Linked DNA regions of Oryctolagus cuniculus. The protein of the gene in region 1 purifies or fractionates together with the protein of each later gene. This does not show direct contact. Links are inferred from orthologs where the notes say so. Each region holds a gene or a part of one and is shown in the gene's direction. Other genes may lie near its edges.

The links.
Region 2: the proteins of SERTAD4 (region 1) and PPP2R2C purify together in Homo sapiens (affinity purification with mass spectrometry; 3 studies listed by BioGRID and IntAct, counting the BioPlex papers as one, with this or other methods). This does not show direct contact. The link is inferred for Oryctolagus cuniculus from reciprocal best matches to the Homo sapiens genes SERTAD4 and PPP2R2C.

The regions. Positions count from the first base shown.
Region 1 is NC_091444.1:25,084,754-25,088,556, forward strand, and holds part of SERTAD4 (SERTA domain-containing protein 4), read left to right. Parts: intron 1-1,988; 5' UTR 1,989-2,005; coding exon 2,006-2,180; intron 2,181-3,354; coding exon 3,355-3,470; intron 3,471-3,803.
Region 2 is NC_091433.1:3,537,438-3,541,240, forward strand, and holds part of PPP2R2C (serine/threonine-protein phosphatase 2A 55 kDa regulatory subunit B gamma isoform), read left to right. Parts: intron 1-1,497; coding exon 1,498-1,663; intron 1,664-3,176; coding exon 3,177-3,289; intron 3,290-3,803. UniProt on the Homo sapiens protein: The B regulatory subunit might modulate substrate selectivity and catalytic activity, and might also direct the localization of the catalytic enzyme to a particular subcellular compartment.

The DNA.
Region 1 (3,803 bases):
TGTTTATCTGTCAGAAAAGTTCTCCGCAGGCCAGGGCTTGGAAAAGTGAGTGCCAATTTCAAGCTGGATACTATGGTTGCTGCCAATAGGAGAGAGCTACCAACTGATGCAAACTGCTAGCAATAGCATTTTCTGATATGATCATCTCTTAGAATAGGATAAGACATCGGATTACCACATGAGTGTCTTCAAGGAATAAAATACCAGGAGGTTTGATGCCTTGCTTGGATATGAAGTTTAAGGAGTGGGAGAACAGCTAAGTTTGATAAATCAATGTTAGGTTAAATTTCTTGGCTGATGTCTCTGATTCTTTATAGAGAATTAATTGAACCTTTTTTTTTTCTCTTTTGTGACAAGGTTTTCTAGTAAGCCCCTGCTGATGGCTCTGGGAAGAGCTTTGTGAAAGAGGAGGAGGCGGGTTAGCTGCCCAGATCAGCCCCCCTCTAGCCACTGACCTGGATGCTGTTCCTGTATGTCAGAAAGCCTGGCTTCATTCTTCATGGGTTGGAGCCACATTTGAAACCTGAGAGAGAGAGAGGCCTGGGGGAAAGATCGAGTCATTGCTGCCAAGAGCTGCTGTGTTAGCCCCAGCCCATTGTCACTTTAATGAAGCTGTTTGCCCTTCCCCTGGCGATTGCCAGCGTTTCCCTGGGAGTGGACCCTTGTCAAAGCATGTAGGTAATGATAGTCTCCCGCGAGACGATCAGAGAGGCCTCCGCAAAGCGACATGAGCTGTGTCATTTGGAAAAGAAAGCGAGAACCAGACCCTTGGTGTGTAGCTGAAAGACAGTCAATCTTCAGAAAGCCAGGCCTGACATCTCTTTGGTGACAGTTCTTTAAACTGCAAAGTCAGAGAGAGGAGGTTTGGTCTCCTAAGTAACCGGCTGCTCTGCTGGCCCCTCAGTCGTTTCGCTCTGATCGCAGACTTTCTTCTCCCTTGGGCTCAGTCCTCACCCCAGCTTGAGCCCAGCCTAGGACCAGGTGAAGACACGGAACCCCCAGGAAGTGTCCCCCCCCCCATACTCCTACCACCACCGGCCCAGGTATGGGAGACCCAGGAGTGGGGCAGGGCAGAGGTGCCCAGCAGCCTGCTGGACCAGAGGAAGGGCGTGAACTGGAGAGAGGAGCAGCGAGGTGTTGCCTCTTGGAAAGTTCCTGCCTTGTGTCTGGGCTTTTGCAGTGTGAAGAGTTGTTGGCTGCCTCTGGCCCTGGAGCCCTGGCTCCTGTTTAATATTCTGCCTGCTCCGTTGATGTTGTGCTTGGCTCCTGTGGGACTGCAACTCACGGCTTGAAACTGGAGCCAATTTTCTGTCTTCATCTCGCAGTGTTTTGACTGGAGGCAGATCCAGTTCAGGCCGATCAGGGCTGGTGGAAACAACTACCAAGTGTCTCTGTGTCTGCCGCGCTCTGGGAGAAGCTGGAGGGAGCCCCAGAATGTTGGAGAGGAGCTGGCCTTGGCAAGCAGAGGAGGGGGGGCAGGGGGCAGCGGGACACACTGAGCATCTGTTGGAATTACGGTAGAGGGTTCTGCCTCTCCACCCGTTTCTTTTGATTGATTAGCGGATTTCATCAAAGGAGACTCCCAGGGGATCGACTAGAAAATTGATTTTGCCTTATTAATAGAAAAGAAGCGCAAGGGTTTTGGCCCTGCCTCTTAGCGGTGCGTTTTCTGCGGGAAGGTCAGGAGGAAAATGTGTTTAGAAGGCAAAGCAGCTGTCTGGAAGAGGGCTGAGGGGAATCTGAGAACAATAAGAAGTGGGGTTTTAAAGAGCCGCCCATGAAACGTGGCTTGCCGAACACGAAGGCTGAGCTAAATAGCAGCAAGAGAGTTTGCCGAGGTCTTCTCTGGAAAAAATAATCAAACGTTGCAGGGTGAAGGGGCGGACCAAGAAGTAAAAGTTTCCCAAAGCAAAGGGACGAAGATGCCAAGCCCGTCCCCTGGCCCGCTCAGGAGGAGCGCTATTTTCTTTCCCCTTTTTTCTTTCCAGATCTGAGGCTGTCAGCGATGACTCTGGTTCTGTCCATGAATAGATTCTGCGAGCCCATTGTCTCGGAAGGAGCTGCTGAAATTGCCGGATACCAGACGCTATGGGAGGCTGACAGCTGCAGAGGCCTGAGCCCCCCGGGGCCAGCCCAGGCTCCTTCGCAGGGAGACCGGGGGGCCGGGCCCCCTCTGGCAGGTATTCCCCCTTGATCCTCCTGTGCTGCCCTCTGCGGCCAGACTGGTGGACGGGAGGTGGTGGCTGGGGCGCGCTTCTCAGCCCAGAGCTAATGCTCTCAGGGCTTCCAGGGCTGCCCATGCGCCTCTGGAAGTGAGCCCAGGGCGCCCAGGGCATGATGGAAGTGATAGTTGAATCACAGTCCGACCTGCGTCCACCTGTGCCCCTGCTTGCATCTAAGTCGTGCATCAGGATTTTTGAACCAAACCAAATATTGAAACTCTGGGCTTGGTTTTGGGTTTTCTACCCTGTGGTCTGTAGGGTTCTCTCAGGCTGCGCAAGCCCTGGTGGGCGTGACAATGAAACCTGTATCCTGTGAGATATCCAGCTATATGCCTCTTCTCTTCAGAAGTATGCCGTTGGTGCTGGTTCTTGCAGGGGAACAATTTTAAAGCCAAGAAAACAGAAACGTGTTCTTTCTGATCTTTTACTCTTATAGTCTAAGACAAGTTAGTTTGGACTTTTGTGTAGTGCTGGCTATTTAAAAAAAAGAATATAAAACAAGTACTCAATGGAGCATGTTTTGATTTAAAAAAAAAAGCATTCAAAGCTGGGGTCTTTAATAACATGTAGACCTACTTTTAGTCATAATTGACTTGTTACATTTTTGAGAGTGAAAAGGATCCTAGTTACAAGTTTAAATTTTGTATTTTGAAAGAAGGAATGTCATAACTTCAGTGTGTAGGTAATCATCTGTCCAGTAACCTAGAGCCAGTGATACTGGGAAGTCGTTTGGTTCTCAGTGGTTACGGTTAAACATGTATCCTTTGCACAGTGGTGTTATGTTATCATGGATGTAACTAAACAATTTGAGTGAATAGTCATGTTATCTTAGAGTTGTTAATACTCTTCCCCTTTATGAATGTTGATGTTTGCCTGTGCCTAGAACTAAGTAAACTTAGTAAATGTTGAAATATGTCATTTTCTTCTATAATTGCCCAGAAATCCTCACCTAGCCTGGGTCAGGATTCCATGTGATAGCAACTATCAAGATAAATGTTTATTTTTAATCACCACATGCACAGACAAATATGCAGCCAAGTTATCCTCTGGAAGGAAAGGAAAGGAAAGTATTTTGTTTGGAGAACCTCTGGCAAACCGCATGTCATTTGTCATATCTGATTTATTACCACAGGATCACATTACAGGGGAATTTCAAATCCTATAACAACATCCAAGATCACATACTTTAAGAGGAAGTATGTGGAAGAAGAGGATTTTCACCCACCACTCAGCAGCTGTAGCCATAAAGTATGTTTTCTTAATAGTCATTATTTTTATTAAGAGTTTAAGATACTTAAGTAACAGTTGCTTGATCCAGTTCCAGAAATTAAATTGTTTCACCCAAGCAATGAACATGAGCCACTTCTCAGTAGAGCCACATTAATCGTTGTCACTTTTTTGGGCCCTGTGTTATTTTTCATAAGTACTTGGAGAGAGAGCCAGAAAGAGATCTTTTTCCCCTAGAAATAACAAAATTATATAAGCCAACAAATGTCTTCTTTGCTTATGATTTAATATTTCCCACGTAGTGTTAAGGGTTACAGGGATTCTGCTCTCTCCGTGAGTGGGGGAGGCACTCCG
Region 2 (3,803 bases), on another chromosome or scaffold:
GGGCAGGCCAGGGCTGGGAGTCCAGGGGTCCACTCTTGAGGCCATGCCCCGACTCCCCCACTCGGGAGATGTCGCTGACCGCTCACTGGCGCTGCTCTGTCCAGCCCCAGAGAAACCTGCTGCCCGATGCAAGCCTCCAGTTAAGCCTTGTCCTGCCCGGGTGACCAGGCATTGTCCTGGCTAGAGGGGACAGGGAGGGGGCGGTCCAGGTGTCTGTGGCCACACTGGGCTTGACAGCCCCTGACCCCACCCTGCACCGTCAGTCCCCAGGGGGCTTCAGAGCAGTGCCCAGGGGAGCGATTCTGAAACGAAGACCCTCCTGATAAACATCTCCATGCAGACACTGTGCCAAGTGCAGGAGGCAGGGGTGAGGCCGGGGAGGAGGAGGGAAGAGCTGGGGTGGAAGCCCTGCCCCCTTCCGCCTCTCCCAAGCACGGCAGCTCCTAAGGCTGCTCCTTGCTTGCCCTTGGCCTTGACTGGGCACGCCCAGGTGCTGTCGCTAGCCTGGCTCCGCGGCTGAGGAGTTCAGAGCACAGAGGTACCGGTCGCTTGCCAAGGACACACACGCACACAGTCAGGGGCCAGTTTGGCACAGGTGACACTGTGGCCGGCACATGCGCTCCGCCAGGATCGTCACAGGTGGGGCCTGCGCAGGAAGGCCGGCCGCGGCTTTTGTCCCCCAGCCCTAACTTCCACCCCCGGGTCAAATCCGCTCCAAACCGTGGTCCCTGCCTCAGGTCAGGGCAGGTGGACGCGAGGAGGAAGGCAGGGCCGGAGCCCGAGGGTGGTCAGCGCCTCACTGCCGTGAGATAGACCTCGGGGAGTGAGTGCTGGTACTCGGCGGACACACAGCCCGGGAGGCCACTCCCGGCCAAGCTCCACCTGCCGTGTGGAAAGCAGGGGCAGCCCTGGTCCCCCGTCCCCGCAGCAAAGGAGGCCGCGCGGGGAGGAGACGCGATGTGTGGCACACGGCAGGTGCTCTGAGGCTCTGCGGGTGTGAGCCGGCCCCGGTGGGGTTAAGTGGATAAGGCTTGGCTATGGTAGAGAGTGTGTCTGGGAGGGGGGGTTGGCGTTTGGCCTGGGGGTTAAGACACCAGTTCAGATGGCCTGGCCCATATGGGGGTGCCTGGGTCACACTCCCAGCTCTGGGCCCTGGTTTCGGCTTCCTGGGAGGCAGAGGAGCTGGGTCCCTGCCAGCTGCGTGGGGGACGCGGGTTTGGCTCCTGGCTCCTGGCTTCATCGCGCCCCGCGCTGGCTGCTGTGGGGAGTGGCCCGGCAGATGGAAGCCCTGTCCGTCTGTCCGTCTGTCCGTCTCTCTGCCTCTTCTAATCAGGGCAGAGTCCTCTCTGTCGTGTGGCGGGCTCGGGGGCACTCGCCGGCTCCCGGGTGCCGTGGCTGTGTCGGGTCTCAGGTGTTCATGGTCCCAGCCGCTTCCCGCGTGCACCCCCGCCAGGAGCCCGCGCCGGAGCTCAGCCCTTGTCCCGGGTTTCCTTGCAGAGTAAGAATGCGCCCCACAGCCAGGGCGAGTACGACGTCTACAGCACCTTCCAGAGCCACGAGCCCGAGTTCGACTATCTCAAGAGCCTGGAGATAGAGGAGAAGATCAACAAGATCAAGTGGCTGCCGCAGCAGAACGCTGCCCACTCGCTCCTGTCCACCAACGGTGAGCGCCGCGCCGGCTGTGCGCATCGCCTGCGTTTCCCGCCTGTTTCCTAAAAGATGATATTATGAGCAGCTGGTGACGGTGCCCGAGCTTCCATTCCCACTATGGTGGAATGTTCTGGAACACCCCTAAGGGGTGTGGAGAGGCCGGGTCAGCAAGCCCAGTGACCACTGTTCATCGAAGCCCTGAGCCGCCCCGTGGGGGCTGTCACCTGGTGTAGGCTGAGCTGGGGGCCCCTGTGCTGTTCTAGGACCATGGTGCCCAGGGCGAGGACACGCCCACCGGGGCACGCCTGCTGCCCACATCTGCTCCCCCTGCTCAGCCCCTTCACCTCCAGCCCTGCAGGTCAGAGGTGTGGCCCTGTGGCCCTGGGGGGCGTGGCCTGGACCAGGCCGCCAGGCTCTCCCGAGTAGGATCTGTGTTCTGTAAGGGCTGCCCGGCACGGCGGCCACGCCCAGCAAACTTCGGCCAGGAGCAGAGGCGGCCGGGGGTCCCCCCAGCGACAGCCCCCACAGTGGCAGGAGCGTCTGGCGATGCCCGGGCACCTCGCACGAGGCTCCTCCTGTTCCTCTCTCATTTGGGGGGACACGCCCCTCCTGCCCCCTCCTGGGTGGAAGGTCATCCTCGGGGCTCCCCTCCCCACTCCCCGGTAGGATCCCAGCTCCGCCCCTTCTCGCGAACGGCCTTGGGTGCCTGTTAATGGCTGCGTTGTGATCCATTTTCTTCCGAGTCCCATTCATTGAGGTGCAGGTGAGAGAGAGAGAGAGAGAGAGAGAGAGAGAGAAAGACTTGGAGAGGCCCAGGCTCACGGGACAGGCGGAGGCCCGTGCAGTGCCGGCTGCCGCAGGGCTCGGCGAGGGCAGTGTCTGGGCCTCGCTGCTTGGTGAGGCCCGCGCGTGCGGGAGACCCGCCCGCCCCACCAATGCACGTTTTAGTGCCATCTGGGAGTCCTTGACGGCAACACCCTGGACGTGTTTGCCCGAAGGCGGCATCTGGGGGCCGTGGGGACGCCAGCGTGACACCAGCACCAACTCCCCTGCCGCGGCTTCCCTGAGTCCTCACGGGCCTGCAGGGCGGGGGGGGGGGGGGCCCAGAGCCCGGGTCTGGGGAGGGGCTCTGCTTCTTCTGCCTGTCCCCGAGGGGCTTAGGGAAGTAGGCGGCTCACGGGGGTGGCGTCCCTGGTCGAGTGTCTCAGCCATGGCCTAGCAGCCTCCCCTCGGGGTCAGGGTTCAGGGAAGACAAGCGCTGAAAGGTGTCAGCCCGGGAGGAGACACAAAACTTCACGGCACATGAGGCTGAGTGTATTTTGCTGCAAATCCACAGGTTTTTTCCATAATGCACGTCTCCTTGAACTTTGTGAAGGCCCCTCGTGCATCACGGGCGAAATAAGAGAGCAGCGGGGTGTCCAGTCCAGGACTGGGGTGGGGTGGGGGCGGGGTCGCTGGCGCGTGCGCGGTGAGTGGCTGAGTGGACGCTCTGTCCCCTGCTTGTGTGCCCGGTTCTGTTCCCAAAGATAAAACCATCAAGCTATGGAAGATCACCGAGCGAGACAAGAGGCCCGAGGGCTACAACCTGAAGGACGAAGAAGGGAAGCTCAAGGACCTGTCCACGGTGACGTCACTGCAGGTGAGCGGCTGGCCGGCAGGGGGCGCGCTTGTGTGCTTTGTGGGACCTTTGGAGCCAGGGTCAGGCTGGCCTGCTGGCTGGCCGGGGGCAGCTCCCTGCTCCGTGCCTCAGTCTCCTCACCAGCAGAATGGACACGGTTACCTGTGCCCGGGGCATCTGTGAGCACCAGGTGCTTTGCACCTGCTGCCGGGGGTGGACAGCACGTCGGGTGGTCCCTGGTTCTGTGAAGGGGCTGCGCCTCGCTCAGAGCGGCTCAGCTGAGCCTCAGGCCGGAGACGCTGCCAGCTGAGCTGCGAGTGGAGCCGGGGGAGCGTGGCGCCGGCAGCATCAGCAGAGGGCCCGTTTGCAAAATCGCGCTGAGCTGCAGAATGGGGGCAGAGTGAGCGCCCATTCCTTCGCACAACTGAAGGGCAGAAGGATCCATTTCTCCCGACACAGAGTCTGTGAGATGGGGACGAGAGAGGGGAGACACAGGACCGGCCTCAAATCCTGACGGTGTGACCGCGGCCAAGGC